Canis lupus familiaris: one gene and its partner. The protein of the gene in region 1 interacts with the protein of each later gene in a biochemical or structural test. Links are inferred from orthologs where the notes say so. Each region holds a gene or a part of one and is shown on either strand. Other genes may lie near its edges.

Region 1 (10,286 bases):
AGCTGGAAAAATCTGAGCAACAAAACAAAGTAGTATTGGATTATAAGCCAAAGTATAAAATAAATATAAGTCCATGGGATCCCTGGATGGCGCAGCGGTTTGGTGCCTGCCTTTGGCCCAGGGCGCGATCCTGGAGACCCGGGATCGAATCCCACATCGGGCTCCCGGTGCATGGAGCCTGCTTCTCCCTCTGCCTGTGTCTCTGCCTCTCTCTCTCTCTGTGACTATCGTAAATAAATAAATAAATACCTTTAAAAAAAAAAAGTCCACACTGATGTAAAGGTTTGAATAGAGAATAGACAAATCTCCTGTACAGAAGAAATTCGAATAATTTATTTAGATACTTCATCCCTAATAAGGTGGAGCATAACTACCACTCTAAGTGTGGCCTGTGCATAGTGGCTTTCTTCCAAAGGCTATAATATGAAAAATAGAAAAAAGGAGTACTTTACAGTGGAGAAGCCAAGTGATCAGAATTAACAGCAACTGGGAGAAGTCATATTGACAGTATGCACTGTTGATGTGTTGAGAATGGCATCTTGACTTCAATGGTTTTCCTCCCAGGAGTACATTACCTTAGTCTAATCATGAGAATACATCAGACAAATCCCAATTGAGGGATGTTCTACAAGCTACCTGGCTGGTAATCATTAAAACTGTCAAGGTCATTAAACTGTCATAGCTGAGAAGAGCCTAAGGAGACATGATGACTAAGTGTAAGGTGGTGTCCTAGACAGGATCTGGGAACAGAAAAAGGACATTAAGAAAAAACTGAGGGAATCTGAATAAAGTAGGGCCTTTGGTTAATACAAACGAATCCACATCAATTCATTAATTGTGATAATGTTCCACACTCGTCTAATATGTTATTGATAGGGAAAATTGGGGATGTGGTATATAAGTCTTTATAATCATTCTATAAATCTAAAATCATTCTAAAATAAAATGTTTATTAAAAAAGTCTACAGGAAGGGTATGTATTCCCATAGAACAGCGACATTGTCCCTTTTATTATTCTATAAAATGGTCCATTAACATTTTTTGTTTCTGAACTCTTTGAAAGTTGCAGCAATTGTCGCTTGCAGACATTAAAGTGACATCCTGCAAGAAATTTTAAAAAGTTCTCAAGGAGGGAAATAGTTGAGAGAAGGGGTATATAACATTGTCATAGATCTTTGAAGTTTTGGAGGATTATCCTCTAGAGTACCTTAAATCTTGCTGGTGCCTTGGTGATGTTCTGGTTCTCTTCCAGGACCCTTCTAAACCTCTGTGGTTGGATTATTTCTGCCATGTTGGTGGTTATACCCTGTTGGGCAAATGATTGAGACAAAGATCCCAGTTAGTTTAGTTTTCTATTGTTTTAATAAATTATCACAAATTTAGTGGTTTAAAAAAAAACCAGTAAAGGTATTATCTCAATCTTTAAAACAAAGATATGGGACGCCTGGGTGACTCAGCGGTTGAGCATCTGCCTTTGGCTCAGGGCGTGATCCTGGAGTCCTGGGATCGAGTCCCACGTCAGGCTCCCTACATGGTGCCTGCTTCTCCCTCTGCCTGTGTCTCTGCCTCTCTCTGTGTCTCTAATGAATAAATAAATAAAATCTTTAAAAAAATAAAAAATAAAACACAGATATATTTGATACATTCTTATTACTATTTTCATTTTTATTGATAATAACTTATCCAGGTTTACATCGTACTAAGAGGTAGACTGCGGTAGATGGTCTTTAAAGATGGCCATCATATTAGCCTTGCACTGCTTTCTCCAAGAATGGTATCTGAGAGAGAAATAAACATCTTGTTGGTCACTATTATTTCGGATCTCTTAGGGCAGCTGAAGCTATATCCTTAACTAATAAGGCCTCCAAATATAGCCATTTTCCAGCTTCTATTATTTCTGCCTCTGGAATATCATACCTGTCCACCCATCATCTCTATTCTTACTGTCATCCTACTAATTCCTTTTTTTTTTTTCTCTCAGTTACCAAAAGAGCCTTCAAACTCAGCTGGTCTCCAATCCAGTGGTTTTCAAGGCAATTTCGCCCTATAGGGAGTATGTGGCAGAGTTTGAGGACAGCTCTGGTTTTTACAATTGGGGGAGAGGTTTCTAGTAGCATTTTGTGGATAGATCAGGGATGCTGCTAAACATCCTACAAGGCATACATGAGTCCTCCACAACTAAGACTCAGGAAGCCCGAAATGTCAACAGTGCCAAGGTTGAGGAACCCTGATCTAATATATCCCCTACACTCAATAGGTGATAGGTTCACATTTCAGATCTCAGCTATGCCCCTTGTGGTGTATATCTGTCAGACTCATGGCTTCCTACCGTCTTTTGAATGGCCTTTCTGCACTGAGGAAATTCCAATTATTTTAGGTCCTGCCTTTCTAAGGAAGAGTTTAGACCCCCAATTTCAGTCTCCTTTGCAGCCAGGACTCAGACGTGGGCCTCAGTCTCCCTCAATTAGATGCCCCCTATGAGCCTTTGATTTAGAAGTAAGGTGAGAAAATAGGCTCTTTTGGAAGCTTGGCATTTTGTTGGTGCAGGAGGCTGTAACAACTTGTGGCATTTGAAGGTGGCAGCCATTCTGCAGTGGTTGTCAGGGTGACAGCAGTGTCATCCTGGGGCGGGGTGCGGCAGCAGCAGCAGCTGCAATCCCAATCAGTCATAGTAGTTTCCTCACCAGGCCAGTTCTTCAGCGTGGTTCTGAGTTTCACTTCTGGAATTAGCCCGGAACCACTTCTTTAGTCCTTCACAGAATTCCCGGAGCTATCCGGTATCCTTTTTAACATGTTCCCTGTTAGTCAGCCAGACTCAATCTCTATTGCTCAGAACCAAGAAACCTGATAAAGAATCCCCTGCTTAAAACTCTGCATTGGCTTCCCATACATTCTAGAATGTGTCTCAAATCCTTTGCTTAGCTCAAAGCTTTATCTGGAAAAGTACCCACTCTGTCCTTCCCTCTGGTCACACTGAGCCACCCTGCTCCTACCAGCCTTCCTTAATCTCATATTGCTTGCCACTAAAGAATTTAGGGGCACAATCACTCTTCTGTATGTACCCCACCCCTCGGGATTGTTCTTTATAATAAAAAAAATCATTACACTCTACTACAAGAGTTGATTCATTCAACTGTAAACTCTGCACTCATTCTTTGAGTCCCCAGGCACCTGGAATAATACCTGGCCCAAAGTAGGTGTTGATGCCTGTTTGAAGATCAGGACGTGGACAAGTACTGCCACCTACTGGGAGAAACTTCATTCAACTCTAATAATGATTTGGACAATGGCTAGCATACAAGGATGAAATCTGACCATTCCCTAAGTTATCATCATTGTTGTCCGACTCCCCAGGATAGGGTTCTCCCAGGCGGCTCCCAGTGATCCCTGTCCAGTGCTATTCATGCCCTTGGGTTGATCCTCCCACACTGAAGGGTTGGCTCTAATGACAGAAGTGGTGGTGCCTGCCTTCCGAGGCTAGAGCACAAAAGACATCGCAGCTCCTGCTTTGGTCGTTCCGGGACCACGTGTTAGGAGGGAGGCCAGATGCCGTGTCGCGGGGACACTCCATTGGCCCTACGGAGGGGTCCACGCCGTGGAAACCAGGCCTCCCGCCCACAGTCGGGGGAGCTCTCCTGCAAGCAGGTTCTCCAGCCTGAGTCAAGGCTTCAGGTAACTGCAGCCCCGGCCTACATCTTGCCTGGAATCTCTAGAGACCAAGACAGACCCACCCACCCAGCCGTGCCCATACAGAACCTCTGGGACAATTAATATTCGTAGTTTTAGGCTGCGAAGCTTTGGGGTGATTGCTGAGCGACACACTACTCCTCTCGTCTCCGACACAGATCAGGGGACCACAAGCTGTTTCATATTTTGCTGTTCCACGAGGAGACGGGCAGAGCCTGGGCTGCACCGCAGGCTTCTCAGAGCCGAGGCCTGCGGCTGGAGCTGAGCGCCGCGGAGCGCAGGCGGCACGAGCCCGGCACGCCCGGGCCCGCAGAGCGGCGAGTCACGCACCCCGCAGCCGCGCCCTCGACGGAACGTCCTCCGCGGCCGCCTGGGAGGAGCCGGCACAGCCCTGGCCACGAAGGGGCCGCGCCGCCCCCGCCCCCGCCCCGCCCAGGCCCCGGCCCCGCCCCCGGCCCCGCCCCCGCCCCGCGTGGCGGCCGCGGCACCTGCGCACTGCGAGCCTCTCACGCCCAGGCGGCGCCGTTGCGCGCCGAGTCATCGATCGCAGAACGCCGAGCCGCGGGGCTGGGCGGGGGCCGCCCGCCACCCGCCCGCCCGCGGGGTGGCTCCAGGGGGCGCCCTCACGCGAGGGGCAGGCGCTCCTGTTCCAGAGACCGGCCGGCAGGGGCCGTGGCGGGGCCTTCTCTCCGCTCCTCCTCGGCACCCTCGCGGCTCCGGTAGTCGCCCCCGCCCCCCCCGGGCCCCCGGGCCTCCGGCCGCCGCCATGAAGCTGCGGGTGCGGCTCCAGAAGCGGACCTGGCCGCTGGATCTGCCCGACGCCGAGCCGACGCTGGGCCAGCTGCGCGCGCACCTGAGCCAGGCCCTGCTGCCCTCCTGGGGCTTCGGGTAGGCGGCCGGGCGGGGCGCGGGGGCGCGGGGGGGCGCGGGGGGCTCCCCGCCTGCTGCGGGCGGTCACGTGAGGCGGGGCGGCGGGGCGGCGGGGGTAGGGCCCCGGGACTGTGACGCGCGGAGGCCCGGGCGGCGCGGGCGCTAGCGCTGCGGCTCGGCGGCCCCCGGCTTGCGGCCGACATGGCCCGGCGTCCCGGGGACCCGGTCCCCCTGCAGGGTGAGCCGTCGCCTTCGTTTCTGCCGCAGGGGAAGCCGGGGACCGGCCGGGGCGGGCGCGGGGGTTCGGCTCCGGGGGGACTTTCCCGGGCTCGGTGGGGTCGCAGGTCACCGTCCCCGGCGGTCGCAGGGTTCCGGGGAACACGTCGGGAAAGTTCCAGAAGTTAGGGACCGGCCCGCGCTCCGAGGCCGCCGTGAGCGGGCTGGAGGCTGCGCCGGGCGGTGCGCGGCCCGCGGCGGGACCCGGTTCAGGGTGTGGGTGCTGCGGTGCTTCTGGTTCCCCGGCCGAGCTGTTGCTTTTTTGCTAAAACTAAGGTAAACGTGGGTCTTGGGGTGACCCTGGAGGGCTTGCGGTTTGGGGGCAGTGACGTTGAGAAATCAAGGACCGGAATCCGCTATTAATTTAATGGGGCTGCAAATGAGACTTCGTTTCCACCGAGTGTTTTCCGGGGATGACAGTCTGGGGGCCGAGGGACAAAGCTAGGGGTGGGCCTCTTCGCGAACTGAGCGAGCGAATTGGGCGTTTGAGCGTGCTGAGGAAACAAGGGTAGTCGCTGGGGCTTTCTAGGTGAATTCTTCAAAAGGAAACCTTTCTGTTAATTAAGCGGATTTTTTTTTTTTAAGATTTTATTTATTCATGAGACACAGGCAGAGGGAGAAGCAGGGTCCCTGCGGGGAGCCGGGTGCGGTACTGATCCGGGCACCCCGAGATCACCAGCTGGGCCCCCCCCCCCCAGGTGCCCCTAAGTGGGTCCTTTTTCTGAGACTTTTATAGATTTTGACTTTATTTTTAGGGAATAGAATAAAATGAGGCCATGTTATGAACTTGTCACCTTTCATTTTTCATTTTCATTTACTATATTAAAAGTAAGCCTGTTTTTTCTCCAAATCAAAAATGAGATTTGAACTGTTGAGTGTTGTATTAAGTGACACGCCTATTGTTATTTCCTGGTGGTAAGCCTAAGCATTTTGTATGTTAATGTCATCACCCCACCAGAAATCTCAAAAGGACCTTCTTTTTAAAATATTTTTTCATATGTATGTATGTGTATTTCATTAATATTTTTTTTTTTTTAATTAAGGGCACTCCTGAAAGGACTGTTTAAGAGCCCAAGTTAGTTTCTCCTTTGGGTTTGTTTTTATAGTTGAGGCTGGTTAACTGGAAGGAATGTAAGCTTCAGCTTCTGAAAGTAAATTCATTCTTCTGAAAATATGTTCACTTTATAATAAATGGGTAGTTCTAAAATACAACGGTAGGACACTATTATTTTTTAAGTGTCTTCACTGAGCAAGTGGATCTGGGTCTGACATGAATATTTTTTAAAGGCCTGGTGTTTCTAAGATAGCATTTTCTGATGAATTTGAATTTTTTCAGTTTTTAACCCCTCCACTGGAAAGTTATATGTTACTTTAGAAGTAGCTCTTCCCTTTTCCTAAATGGGGAGGGAAGTCCAGCATTTTTATTAATTATATGGTTCTTTAGCTTTTCTACAGGTGGTTGTTTGGATGAACATTGTATTGACATTGTTTGAAAAAAAAAAAAAAACCTTTTGCTGTGACAGATGATCCATAAACACATAGTTCATATGAGACATTTTTCTCTTGGGATAGTGTTTTTTTGGGGGGCATCTTCAGTATTTATTCATGGGTTTGAAAACAGAAGTATAGCTATTTATTTCCTAATAAGCAGGAGTAGTTTCTAAAATTTTAGTAATTTCTCTACCAAAGACACTTTAATTGGTAAGAAAAAGTGTTTTTACATGTGAAAGAAAATGAATTATTTTGCGTACTTTTGAAAATGCAGCATTGCAAGAATAAACAGAACATGATTTTCAAATCCTTGGTTAACCTCTCAAAAAGTTAATGAAGTTAGCATTGCTGAGTCTAAGTGTCTTATAAAATGTGCAGCGATTTGTTAATTACTCCGCACCACTATGTGATGAAATGATGGATATTCTCTCAAATCAGAGAGCCTATGATGTGGAAGGGAGGAGAGTTTGTTTCAGGCTAATTTGAGCTCCTGTTTAGCAGTGGACTTTGGGATTTGTGCTGTTGTCATTATAAAAGACATCATACATAACGTTATCAGTAACAAAGGCGACCTTGTACTTAACAGTGGGAGGGATGCATTTATACTCGGTCCTCTATATTCTCATGTTTTTGTGATTGTTAGTATTTATCTTGGACATGGGTCTAGTGTTTTGGAAGAGACATAGCTGACTGTCCTGTAAATACATTGACTAGGGAGCCCTTATTTCAGTTTCATTTCCATCTTACCAACTGATGTTTGTTGGTTGCAGGTTTTTGTTGTTGTTGTTGGTTGTTTTTTTTTTTTTTTTTTTTTTTTTTGAGGATTTTATCTGTTTGTTCATGAGAGAGAGAGACAGAGACACATACAGAGGGAGAAGCAGGTTCCCTATGGGGAGCCTGATGAGAGACTTGATCCCAAGACCCCAGGATCACGATCCTAGCCAAAGGCAGATGCTCAACCACTGCGCCACCCAGGTGCCCTGTTGGTCGCATTTATTCCACAAATACTTTTACTTGCCAAGAGCGGGAGATACAGTTTTGAACTGGACAGATAACGACCTTATGAAAAACTTAAATTCTAGTGGTGGGGGTGGAGAAGAGATGATAAATAGGGAATTTTTAAACAGTGATGTTAAAATAAAACTGAAACAGAGTGGAATAGAGTGATGGAGGCTAGGTGGAAGGAATATCAGAAGAGGTGGTATTTGAATTACTGGAATGATGAGAGTCAGTCCTTTGAAGATCTGGAAGAGCAAATGCTGAGGACCAGAGGCTGCAGTGAGGTTGATTTGTTTTGAAGAAGGGATAGAAAGCTTATATTGGCAGAGAACAGTAACTGAGGGGATGGAGTGGATGTGGTAGGAGCACTGGGGAAGGGTCAAATGTTAAGTGTCGAAGGCCATGTTAAAGATTCTGTTCCGGTTTCAAAATAGAAGCCCTTGGAGGATTTTCAGCAGAGGAATGACGTGATTTGTATTTTAAAAGGGCTATATTTCATTGACTGAATCTTAAGCTGCTGTCAATCTTAAGATTTATGTTGTTTTATGTAATGCTAAAGGGGAAAATGCTGGCAATTAAGTTGTGATGTGTCATCAATTTTTTTTTGTCATCAATTTTAAGAAGCATCCCTGTTTTGAAGATAGCATAATTACAAAAGATGTAAAATATGTATGTTAGAATTGATGAGAACATGGATGGATTACTGATAGAGAATTACCATATTGTGTCCCCCAGGCTAGAATTGTAGCCATTAGAGATCTATAACCCAGGGAATGTGGTGCTAAGAACAAATAATTTTGATAGTTTTTTGTAAAGCTTTGGCTTCCTTTTTATTTTTGTTTTCATTATTTTATTCTCCTAGGATCATAACATGTACCTTACGTATGTTCCCAGGTAATGGTAGGTAGCTCTTACTATCCTTATCCATCTTTCTTGGCAGTTCTGATACCCGGTTTGCAATCACATTGAACAACAAGGATGCCCTCACTGGAGATGAAGAGACCTTGGCTTCATATGGGATTGTTTCTGGGGACTTGATATGTTTGATTCTTGAAGATGCCATTCCAGCACCTAACTTACCTTCATCCACAGATTCAGAGCATTCCTCACTCCAGAATAATGACCCACCCTCTTTGGCCGCCAGCTCCAATGGGTCCAGCATACAGAATGAACAGCCCAGTAATTCATTCCAAGGACAGGCAGCCCAAACTGATGTCTGGAATGAGGACAATATGGTAGGTATTAATAGCAAAATGAGAAATGAGGTGGTTGACAAAGCATACTTGAATACCTCAGTTGGATTCTGTATCAGTCAGGATAATTATTAGTAGTAGATTGTAGATTATAGTCTTGTAGAAATTTTTTAAACTGCTAAATGCCTGGACCATTACTTGACTGCCATTCGAGAGAACCCAGTTTTTACCTGTTTATTTCGTTCAGACCTTTTCTCCTTCAGATAAGTTGTCCCTTGGCTCCTGTTGCTGCCTATGAGCTTGTGATTCCCAGCCTCACCACTCTTGTCTGCTCTACTCGTTCAGGCTATCTAGAGTCCAGTTATTTCCAAATTATTTGCAGGACATTTATTACCTGGATTTTAAGCGCTGCTGTCTCACCATTTGTGCCAACATCAATTTGGAAATATGAACTAATGTTCTCTTCTCAAACCAGCCATTCTGTCAGTGGCACCACTGTTTTCCTTGAGTTTAAAACCCTGGAGTAGGGATCCCTGGGTGGCGCAGCGGTTTGGCGCCTGCCTTTGGCCCAGGGCGCGATCCTGGAGACCCAGGATCGAATCCCACATCGGGCTCCCGGTGCATGGATCCTGCTTCTCCCTCTGCCTGTGTCTCTGCCTCTCTCTCTCTCTGTAACTATCATAAATAAATAAAAATTAAAAAAAAAAAATAAAATTAAAAAAAAAAAATAAAATAAAACCCTGGAGTGATTTTTGATGCTTTATATCCAACCTCTTAACAAGCCATGTCAGTTTTTCCTTTCCATTCCAGGCTTCCAATGTCTGTCCTTCAGTCTGCTTTTTGTGTTCAAGTTTTCCCTGCACAGTTTTGATTATGTGGTTCCCTTGCTTGTCCCGTAACTATGTCACTGATTCTACCTGTGCTTATAATTTTTGAGCTGAAAAAGACCTGTCTGTGTTTAACCCTATCATCTTAGGAGGAAAATGTTGCCTCTCTTCCTGTACCCAGCTTTTAAGGTTTTTTGGGGCTAGTTTGTGTTCTTCCCGCCAGTGAACTATCATCTCCAGTCAGACTCCTTTATCAGTTTCCCTGTACCAGCCAGCACATTCATATGTTCTCACTGGCGCGCACACACACACACACACACACACAGAGCCTACCCACTGTTTCATGCCTTTGCTCTTGCTATACCCCCAGCTGGGAATGCATGGCCTTTCCTCCCTCTCCTGTCTCTGCCCATCTTCCAAGGTCCTGCCAGCCACAGCCCAGGGACTGTCTCATTTCTTTGTATTGATGATCCTTATTGCCTTGGTGCTTACGAGGCAATTGATTTCAAAGCTTTTTATTTCTGGATCACATGTATTATTTAGTTTTTAAGACTGTGCTGTTGTGTTCATTGTTTTTTTGTGTATACTTATCACTTCAGCTTAGTTTCTTTCTTTCAGACCTTAAACATTTGTGAGTATAAGTATGCATTGTGCTGTCGTGGCATTAAGTACAGGACAGATATTAAGAAACACTTTTTAAAAGATTGGTAAAGTATGAAAATCATCTATGTCAAGATTTTTTTCTTTTTTTAAGAGACTGCGCACGCTGAAGCAGGGGCAGGGAGGGGCAGAGGAAGAGGGAAAGAGAATCTTAATAAGCAGGCTCCATGCCTAGCTAGTGTGGAGCCCAGTGTAGAGCTCGATCTTGTGACCCTGAGATCATGACCTGAGTCAAAATCAAGAGACATTTAACTGATTCAGGTGTCTCAGAGATTTTTAATAA
Region 2 (10,227 bases), on another chromosome or scaffold:
GTCTATGTTTAAAGACAAGAAATCAATGAAGCATGGCACTGTTGCCCGAGAACAGGAATGCTTTCAAGAATATCTGGGGTAGTAATTCAAAGAACAGAGTAATGAACCTGATTGGCTTCTAAGGACAATCTGAACATCAATAAAGAGAACAAAATTAGTTAATGGTACAAGCTTAGTTTAGGAAAGGCTATGAGTTGCAACACTTTTAAAAAAGGAGAAAAATACAAAGCCCACCAAATGCTAGTTGTAACACACAGGAGATGCTTCATTTTTTGCTACTGATTTAATAGGTAAAGCAGTATAAATACTCAAATGGTTACTGTCTGTTCTCTCTCCTTTTTAAAAAAGATTTTATTTTTAAGCAATCTTTACACCAAATGTAGGGCTTGAACCCACAACCCTAAGATAAAGAGTCACACACTCCAGCTACTGAGCCAGACAGGTGCCCCTATTCTGTCTCTTCTAGAGTTACATGTCTGTGGATGTGTTCTCCTTTCTATATAATCAGGAAAGAATATACACACAGATCTGATCCTCCCACTCCCCCAAAGAAATGTGCTAAAAGAAAGACTGGCTGACAGTCATAAAATAACCCGAAAGAAAGTTAGTTCAAGGTGTGTCCCAAATAACAAAATATTTTAAAAAGGAGAGTGAGCTACTCAGACTCAAATCTTCATCTCCTAGGAAGATTAAATTTCTAGGAAGCCCTCCTAATGATAATAAAGTAATAAGAGATCCAATCACATTTCTCATTCCAATAAACCAAGTCAATATATCAAAAAGACCAGACAAGTGGGAAGGCACTGACAATTTAAATACATTTTGGGGGAGAGATATCAAGTCTCAAAAAATGAAAATCTCTATCTGAAAGGCTCAGGAATTCCGTGACATAACAAGGAAAGCTCTGTTATAAAAAAAAATGGATGTGGTCTGAATGACCACTAGTTCAGAACTGTGTTGGCCCATGAAAGCAGGCCCCTTGACCCCTTCACTAATTGGTCTGATCACCAAGATTTAGAAATCTCAGCAGAGGGCACCTGGGTGGCTCAGTCACTTGAGTGTCTGCCTTCAGCTCAGGTCATGATCCTGGAGTTCCAGGATCCAGTCCCGCATCAGGCTCCCCGCTCAGTGGAGTCTGCTTCTCCTTCTGCCCCTCACCCCGCTCATTCTCTCTCTCACTCTGTGTCTCTCAAATAAATAAATAAATCTTAAAAAAGAAATTTCGGCAGATCTGAGGCTCTTTTGGGTCTACTAACACTTGGAAACCTTGGAATGGTTTGAAAAGAGAAGAATTACTAAAACCAGAAGAGAAGCAACTCTGGAATAAATGAATGTAGGCATAAACAGACCTAGAAGGCATTTTAGATAAGTGGTATTCACTCTTGTAAGATGGTATTAATCTAAGTGTTTTGCTTGGTATCCCCTCTTGTGGCATGTTTGCCAATCTTGGCAATTCTGCTAACACGGCACTCACACTGGTCCCCTTGCCTGTAATGCTCTCCCCACAAAGCCCCAATGGCTTGTTCACTCGACCAAGAGACTCAATTGTCACTTCCCCGGAAGGCCTTTCCTGGCTACATTTCAAACCTCTCATCCACACTTCCAATTTCCCTTCCCTGCACAAAGCCTTAAACTCAACTGGAGCCCATACTTTCTCCCTACATTACCTTCCTCTCCACCACCAGAGATGTGCTTCAATCCCCCCTCAATCTGTTCCTAGGATACCCTTTTAAATTCATTCAACAAACAGAGTACCTACTATATGCTATGTACTACTCTGGTCACTTGCGAGTATAGACAAAATATCTCCCTTTGTTTTTTTTTTTAAGGATTTTATTTATTTATTCATGAGAGACAGAGAGAGAGGCAGAAATACAGGCAGAGGGAGGAGAAGCAGGCTTCCATGAAGGAGCCTGATGTGGGATTCAATCCAGCAACTCTGGAGGCAAAGGCAGATGCTCAACCACTGAGCCACCCAGGCATCCCAATATCTCCCTTTGTAAAGCTTACATCCTAATGGGTGAAGGCAAGGAATTTTAGAAAGAAGTAAATTTCACAGCAAACATTAAGAGGTCATAAGTAGAACAAGGGAGGGGAATGAGGAGTGCCAGGGGCTGCAATTTTTTAAAAAAAGATTTTATCCATTTGAGAGAGAGAGACAGAAAGAGAGCACAAGCACATGCATGGGGAAGGGCAGAGGGAGAGAATCCCCAGCAGACTCACTGCTGAGCGCAGAGCCTGACATGGGGCTGGATCCCACGACCCCAAGATCATGACTTGAGCTAAAACCAAGAGTCAGATGCTCAACCAACTGAGCCACTCAGGTGCCCCCAGGGGTTGCAATTTTAAAGTTAGGTTACAGACAGCCTCGTTGAGGAGGTGACATTTAAGAAAGACTTAAACTATACTATATGTTGGCGAATTGAAATTTTTTTTTAAAAAAAGACTTAAACTGGGGATCCCTGAGTAGCTCAGCGGTTTAGCGCTTGCCTTCGGCCCAGGGCGCGATCCTGGAGTCCCGGGATCGAGTCTCGAGTCGGGCTCCTGCATGGAGCCTGCTTCTCTCTCCTCCTGTGTCTCTGCCTCTCTCTCTCTCTCTCTCTGTGTGTCTATCATGAATAAATAAATAAATCTTTAAAAAAACTATATAAAAAAAGACTTAAACTGAGTTAGGAAAAAGGAAGCTATGCATGTACCCAGGGAAAGCATGTTATAGGCAGAGAGCGCGGTTACCCTAAGATGGGATCACTCTGAGGGTGTTTCAAGAAGCCCAGGAAGATCAGTGTGGTGAGAGCACAGTGAAGGAGCAAGAAAATTAGGAGGAGGTGAAATCGGGAGGTAACTTGTTTTACTGATTTATAGGCCAAAACCTTCTGGATCTGGTCAAGATTAGGCCTTCAAGGAACCCTTCTGTCTTGTTCACTGTGGCCTCCCCACTGCCAAGTACAGAACCTGGCATAGAACAGCCAACAAATGTGTGTGTGAGTGAGCAATATCAAGACCATTTATGGAGTGCTTCCTATGTGCTATTCTTGGGGCTGAGCTTTGCATCTCTACTTTCCTCAGCCCTAGCCCTGGGGAGGAGGAGAAATGGGCCCTTAAGTATCTATCATCTCAGAGAGCCATGGGGAAAGGGAAAAGGATGTTGCAAATGGTGGTATTTTAGACACTTCATAGAATGGACTTACTCTGTGAGGAGATTGCTCTTACGATCAATGAACTTGAGAGCTTCTGCCAGTGTCAACTCCAGGAAAAAACCATATCCGAGCGCCACATAGATTCGTGAAGTGTCTGGGCTGAGGAAACAATGGTTAGAGGAAGTGGGGGAAGTCTTTATTACTGTTTAGCATACTATACAGTTTATTGGCAATTTTTTTTTACTCCACTCCTCCCACCTTCCCCAAATTAGAAGCTCTGAGAGGGCAGGGGTTTTGTCCTATTCGATTCACTGTCACATCCCCGGCACCTAGCACAGTGTCTGGTACATAGCAAATACTCAAAAAAAAATATTTGTTGCATGAAGGAAGGGGGAAGCTGAGCCCTGTGGGCTCAGAGGGGCAGGTAGACACTCACACAACTGTGTCAACGAAGAAGTTACAGCCCAAATCCACCTGCATATATAACTCCGAGGGGTTAGCTTCCTGTGGGGCCAGGGAAAAAGAGGTAGGGGTCAGTGGTCACCTTTCAGGTCAGCTGACAGGTTTTGGTCTGGGGTCTCTCCTCCCATCCCCCTCCCTTGCCCAAACACATCAAAATGGTCCCTAACCTTGGCTGTTTTTACCTGAAGCCGCTCAATGACATTTCTCAGTTGAAGGTATTTGGCCAGCTGCTCATATACCTTGTCGCGATGGTCCAGCACTTTTCTGATGGGACAAGAGGAAAATGGTGACCAACAGGAAGCCCTGGACCTGTCAGAATACCTCATATTATGACTGAGACCCTCATGTCACCATGCCTTAAAGAAGCATTTTAGTGCAGAAGTTGATTTGAATTGTGAGTCAGACTGCTTGGGTTTGAATCTAGGCTCTCCTTTTTACTAGTTGTGTGACTTCAGCAAATTCTTTAGGACTCATTTTCTCTTTAGGAGTCAATTTCCCTATCTTTAAAAAAGGGACGACAAGTATTACCTCACAAAGTCATTAAGAGAACTGTTTACTACAAAGCACTTACAATAGCACCTAACCAAAAACTAAGCTCTATATATGTTTTAGCTCTTATTTATTAGTACTATTACCACATTCCGTCCAATCAGGATGTCCCATTCTCAAAAAAAAAAAAAAAAGTGTCCCATTCTCACCCTAGAAAAATCTTCCATCCCTTTCAGGATGTTCATTATCCTGCTTCTGAACACTCTACTTCCTGCTCAGATTAATAGTGATAGTAACAATTTTTCATACTCATAGAGCCCCTAGTATTCACATTAAATCCTTTACAAGGGGGGAACACATTAAAAACTCAAAACCACCCCATGAGGAAGGTTCCATGAACTTTCCCATTTCACAGATAAGAAAACTGAGGCACACAAAGTCGAGGCAGCGTACAACGTCTTCACACAGATGGCGAAGGGGCCAGGCCAAGGATTCGAACCTAAGAACTCCCGCTTTAGAATCTAGCTCCACGGCTAAGTGAGATGGGAGGCCAGACAGGCGCGGACACACCCTCTACAAGAACCGCCACATCCCAGCCCAGTAGCACCCCGGATGTCGCCCCTCCTCGCCGGATCGGCGCACGGGGCTGGACTCCAAATGCCTTTCCCACCAATCAGAAGGCTAGACCCTGACTTTGGACGCCCCGCCCCCCCACGTGGAACCTTCCACACGCCCGGCCCTCCACGCTGCCACTCACCGCAGGTCCTGCTGTAGCACGTCACAGATGAAGGCCTCATAGCGCAGCACTTTCTCCCCCGTGGCTTCCACCGCCCGCCGTTTAGGGGGCGTCGCCATGATGGGCTCCTAAGGAATGGGGAGCGGAGCACACCACGTTGACCACACAGTTTGGCCTCAGGCACAGTACATCTGCACCCCCTCGACAGCGGGAGTGGGCTCGTTCGGCTCCGGCCGGGGTTCCGCCTTCTGCCCCTCCCAACTCTGGGACTCTGCCACCCAGGGACACCCAAACGCGGCCCTCACCTTAGAGCCGCCGGCAATAAGAACGGTTGCTATAAACCGTGGCTTCCGGGTGGCGCGGGTGAATGACGTACCACAAGGGCGCGGGCCAACCGAATAGCCGGGTGGGAAAGGCGGTTCTGAAGGGCTGGAAAGGGGCGAAGCGGAGGAGAGGAGGGCGGGGCTTTAGGGAATCCACCGAGTGTACTCCCGGCCGCGCAGCGTGGGAACGGGGCAGCGCGGAGCCTGTGGGGACTGAGCGTGGCTCGCGGGGGCGGGCCTTAATGGGATTTGGCGGGTTCCTGGGGGAGGCGGGGCGCACAGGTGGCGAGAGAGAAGCGTGTAGTATTTAAAAGTCAGAGCTTCGGAAGCAGACGGGCAAGAATTGGTTATGGTTCTGGTTTGTAAAAAGGAGAGTACATCCCGGGAACTGTCGCCATGGATTTTGATTTTTCGCACGGGAGATTTGGGTTTGATTCCCAGTAATGGGAATGAATGTGAGCATTAAATTTTTTTTTTTAAACGGAGACAGATTCTCTGAAACTCAGCTTTGGTAACTCCAGTTTGCAACCTGCCATCCATAACTAGGATCCAAGCAGATATTGACAAAACACTATGTCTATTACCTCGTCTAATAGAGGCATCAGGTGGCGGGTCGCTGAAGTCCTCTGCTCAAGATCGGCTATTCTGTAGTTAGAAATGTTCCTGAGTCTTTATTTAAATGTATAAACTTTTATTTATTTGTATGCACTCAAGTTAATGAATTTATTTCCCATGTTACATTTTCAAATAATAGCATCATACCCAGCAAGTCTTGGCTGAGCCTGAAGGAGAACACAGATACCAAATCCCTCAAATGCTATGCCTGCCTATAGGGCCGAGAGCCCCCACTCATGCCAGTGATGTCTTCTCAGATACTTTGTGTGTTTTGTGTGTAAAGGCAAGTTTTTCTTTCAAATGCTCAAAACCTAAGCAAGTCAAGCTTTTCTTTGCCCTAAGAACAAGATGATTGGAAAGGACATGTAATTTTTTAAAATGTTTTTTTGTAAATCTTCAAATATTACATATAGTTAAAGTTACATTTCGTGTGATTGAAATAGACACCAGGTAGTTAGACAACTATTATTGAGTTAATCTATACCATTTTCCTATGGGGAAAAAAAGAGGTGTTATGTTTATTATCTTTATTTATATATTTTAAAGATTTTGTTTATTTATTCATGAGAGACAGAAAGGCAGAGACACAGGAAAAAGCAGGCTCCATGCAGGAAGCCCGATGTGGGACTCAATCCTGAGACTCTGGGATCATGCCCTGGGCTGAAGGCAGGCGCCAAACCGCTGAGCTACCCAGGGATCCCCCCATGTTTATTATCTTTAACACAAAACAACACAGAGTTCTGAAGAACTGAAGATAGGTCTGTGCAAATCTACTAACTTACATTTCATAAAGCATTTTTTACTTTTTAAAGAAAAGGTTCTATTTATTTATCTGAGAGAGAGAGCATACACGCACCATGGGAAGGGTCAGAGGGAGAAGCAGACTCCCAGCTGATCAAGGAGCCCAACTTGGGGCTTGATCCTAAGACCCTAGGATCATGACCTGAGCAGAAGGTAGACGCTTAACTGACTGAGCCACCCAGGTGCCCCCTTTTTTTACTTTTTAAAAACATGTTACCAACTTTATTTTGACATTTTAAACCTACAGAAAAGTTGGCAGTGAACACCCATAGAGCCTGCATTTGGACTTGCCAAATATTAGTATTTGACCCCATTTGCTTTTTCCCTTTCTGAACCACCTGGTAATTGTTGTCATGGCTGCATAGCATTCCATGTTTTGGATGGCCTCAGAATTTTTTTTAAAGATTTTATTTATTTATTCATGAGAGACAGAGAGAGAGAGAGAGAGAGAGAGGCAGAGACACAGGCAGAGGGAGAAGCAGGCTCCATGCAGGGAGCCTGATGTGGGACTTGATCCTGGCTGGGTCTGCAGGATCAGGCCCTGCACTGAAGGCGGCGCTAAACCGCTGAGCCACCTGGGCTGCCCCCGCCTCAGAATTTTGAACCATTTCCTATGCTATTGGATGTTTGGATGTGTCCCAGTTTTTTTTTCATTGTTATAATCCAGGATGGGATAACAGTCTTCGGTTTCAGATTTTTGTTTACAAAATTATACAAAATAATTTTTTGTTTGTTTTTGTTTTTGTTTTGTATTTGTTAATTATTTGTAATTGTTTACGAAATTATACAAAAATAATTTACAAAATTATTTCCTTGTAATAAATTTCTAGATGTAGAATTATTGATCTAAAGGAGGTCACTGAATTGTCAATCAAGTATTAGCTGACAATTGTACATATTCCTGATAAACTTCCTCATCCAAGCTCTGCATCAGGAAGAGTTTGCTGACCCTTGATGTTTTTCTACAGCCTGCAATCTAAGAAGACTGCTTTCACTTTTTTAAATACTTGAAAAAAGTAAGAAAAATATTTTGTGTCATTTGAAAATTACATAAAATTCAAATTTCAGTGTCCAATAATAAAGTTTTACTGGAACATAGCTGTACTCATTTACTTATTGTCTGTGGATGCTTTCATGCTTATTCTGGCAGAGTAGTTGCCAAAGAGACCATTTAGCCTGAAAATCCTAAAGTATCTACTATCTGGCCTTTTACAGGAAAAGCTTGCCAACTCCAATCATGTCAGCACTATACAACCCTGTGAATCACTAATACATATGTTAGGGTTAGTGGGCCTAAGTATGTGAGCCTCCCAAGCTTCCACTGGTGATTTCTTACCTGGCTTATGAGTGGGTGTTTTCAGGCTGGTGCTTCTGGGAGACATGAGGCAGACTGTGTCTCTCATCTCTATTTGTATTTTCTCTCCCTCCCAGCCAAGGAAGGAAGAGCAAGAAATGACAGGCCCAGATGAGTTAGAGCTTAGGTGTTCATTTACTGCCTACTTTATTTTCTACTGGATATTTGGAACCTGATAAGAATATATCTCATAAAATTGAAAAATAAAGGCAGGATCACAAAAAATGCAAACAAATAGAAGATTAATATCAGGGAAAATTGGGATGTAGGTATGAAATTCACTTCTGTACTTAACTGTGGATTTGTCTCTGATCTTCCTACCACAATAGCAAAAGGGGAAATGGAATCAGTTATGTGATTTGTATTGTCTGCGAGGAAAAAGCATACCAGTTCATCAGCAGAAGGAAGTATTTCATGCCATTCACCAGGAAACAGTAAAGTTAGAACTCTCTCTTACTTCCTACACTAAAATAAATTCCAGGCGGATTAAAAATTTAAACATAAAAATAGAACCATCAGTGTGTGAGAAGGAAAAAAAATGGGAAAATATTTATTATTATCTTAGATTGAAGTCCTTTCTAGTGATGACATAAAATTCTGAAGTCATGAGAGAATAATATATTGATACATTGTGTTCATAAAATTAGTGAATGCACAATTAACCTTAAAATCTTAAAGCCAGGGGGATCTCTGAGTGGCTCAGCGGTTTAGTGCCTGCCTTCGGCCCAGGGCATGATCCTGGAATCCCGGGATCGAGTCCCACATCAGGGTCCCTGCATGGAGCCTGCTTCTCCCTCTGCCTGTGTCTCTGCCTCTCTCTCTCTTTCCCTCTCTCTCTCTCTCGAATAAATTAATAAAATCTTAAAAAAAATCTTAAGGCCAAATGGCAAATTGCAAAGAAAAATTTGCAACAGATGCAATCAATGGCTAGTAAACTTAATATATAAATACTGCTACAAATCAGTATAAAAGCCCAACAATTTATTTTTTTAAAGATTTATTTATTTATTTATTCATAAGAGACACAGAGAGAGGCTCCAAGGCTTGAACTCAACCCTGAGATCAAGACCTGAGCTAAAATCAAGAGTAGGACACTTAACCAAATGAGCCACCTAAGTGCTCCTAAAAATAGGGATCATTTGATTTTATACAGTAAAATACTTCAAATTACTGCCAAGCAACCTTTGAAAGCAGATTTGTTTATTATGAATAATACAAAAGGGTTTTTTAGAATCATGGACATATAGTGCAATGATAGCCATGTATAATACATAGTAGAAAAATATGCTTTCTGAACTATTATTAATTGGTCTGCTGAATTCACGATAACCAAACTAAATTATGAATGTATCTTTATAACTGGATTCTAATAGATAATGGGCATAATTTAGCCAGGTACTATATAGAATGTTAGTAACGAAGCCATATATTTAATGTGTGGATTTAAATATTCTAAACAAGCTTCTTGGTTCTTTTCCTGTAAAAGGATGAGAGACTAAATATTTGAGGCTTTGCAAGCCATCAAAAGACATCAGATAATGGAAGGGATAAAAAAGGGACACTTGGGTGATTCAGTGATTGAGCGTCTGCCTTTGGCTCAGGGCATGATCTGGGGATCCGGGATCGAGTCCCACTTCGGGCTCCTTGCATGGAGCCTACTTTTCCCTCTGCCTGTGTCTCTGCCTCTCTCTCTCTCTCTCTCTCTCTCTCTCTCATAAATAAATAAAATCTAAGAAAAAGGAATGGATTAAAAAAATGCAAGACCCATGTATATGCTGCCTACGAGAGACTCATTTCAGATCAAAAGACATCTGCAGAATGAAAGTGAGGGGATGGAGATCATGCCAATGGATGTCAAAAGAAAGCTGGGGGTGTGCCTGGATGGCTCAGTCAGTTATGTGTCTGCCTTCAGCTCAGGTCATGATCCCAGGGTCCTAGGATCCATGCTAAGCTCCCTGCTCAACAGGGAATCTGCTTCTCCCTCTGCCTAACCACCCCTCCCCCAGCTCATGCTCTCTCTGTCTTCTCAAATAAACAAATAAAATCCTTTAAAAAAAGTTCTAAAAACTGCAGTTGCAATACTTATTTTGGAAAAAATAGACTTTAAAAAAAGACTTAAGAGACAAAGGACACTTTATAATAATAATTGGGACAATCCAGCAAGAAGATAGAACAATTATAAATATTTATGCACCTAACATGGGAGCACCTAAATACATAAAGCAGTTAATAACAAACATAAAGGAGCTAATGGACAGTGATACAATAATAGTAGGGGACTTTAACACCCCGCTTACATCAATGGACAGA

The links.
Region 2: of the proteins of FBXO7 (region 1) and UXT, one has a biochemical effect on the other in vitro, tested with the Homo sapiens proteins (2 studies listed by BioGRID). The link is inferred for Canis lupus familiaris from reciprocal best matches to the Homo sapiens genes FBXO7 and UXT.

Annotation. Positions count from the first base shown.
Region 1 is NC_049231.1:32,000,957-32,011,242, reverse strand, and holds the start of FBXO7 (F-box only protein 7), read left to right. Parts: upstream 1-4,245; 5' UTR 4,246-4,453; coding exon 4,454-4,575; intron 4,576-4,667; exon of another isoform or gene 4,668-4,758; coding exon of another isoform or gene 4,759-4,795; intron 4,796-8,263; coding exon 8,264-8,558; intron 8,559-10,286. UniProt on the Homo sapiens protein: Substrate recognition component of a SCF (SKP1-CUL1-F-box protein) E3 ubiquitin-protein ligase complex which mediates the ubiquitination and subsequent proteasomal degradation of target proteins and plays a role in several biological processes such as cell cycle, cell proliferation, or maintenance of chromosome stability.
Region 2 is NC_049260.1:41,477,484-41,487,710, forward strand, and holds the start of UXT (protein UXT), read right to left. Parts: upstream 5,290-10,227; 5' UTR 5,130-5,289; intron 4,953-5,129; 5' UTR 4,944-4,952; coding exon 4,846-4,943; intron 3,864-4,845; coding exon 3,767-3,863; intron 3,642-3,766; coding exon 3,574-3,641; intron 3,297-3,573; coding exon 3,189-3,296; intron 1-3,188. UniProt on the Homo sapiens protein: Involved in gene transcription regulation. Acts in concert with the corepressor URI1 to regulate androgen receptor AR-mediated transcription. Together with URI1, associates with chromatin to the NKX3-1 promoter region.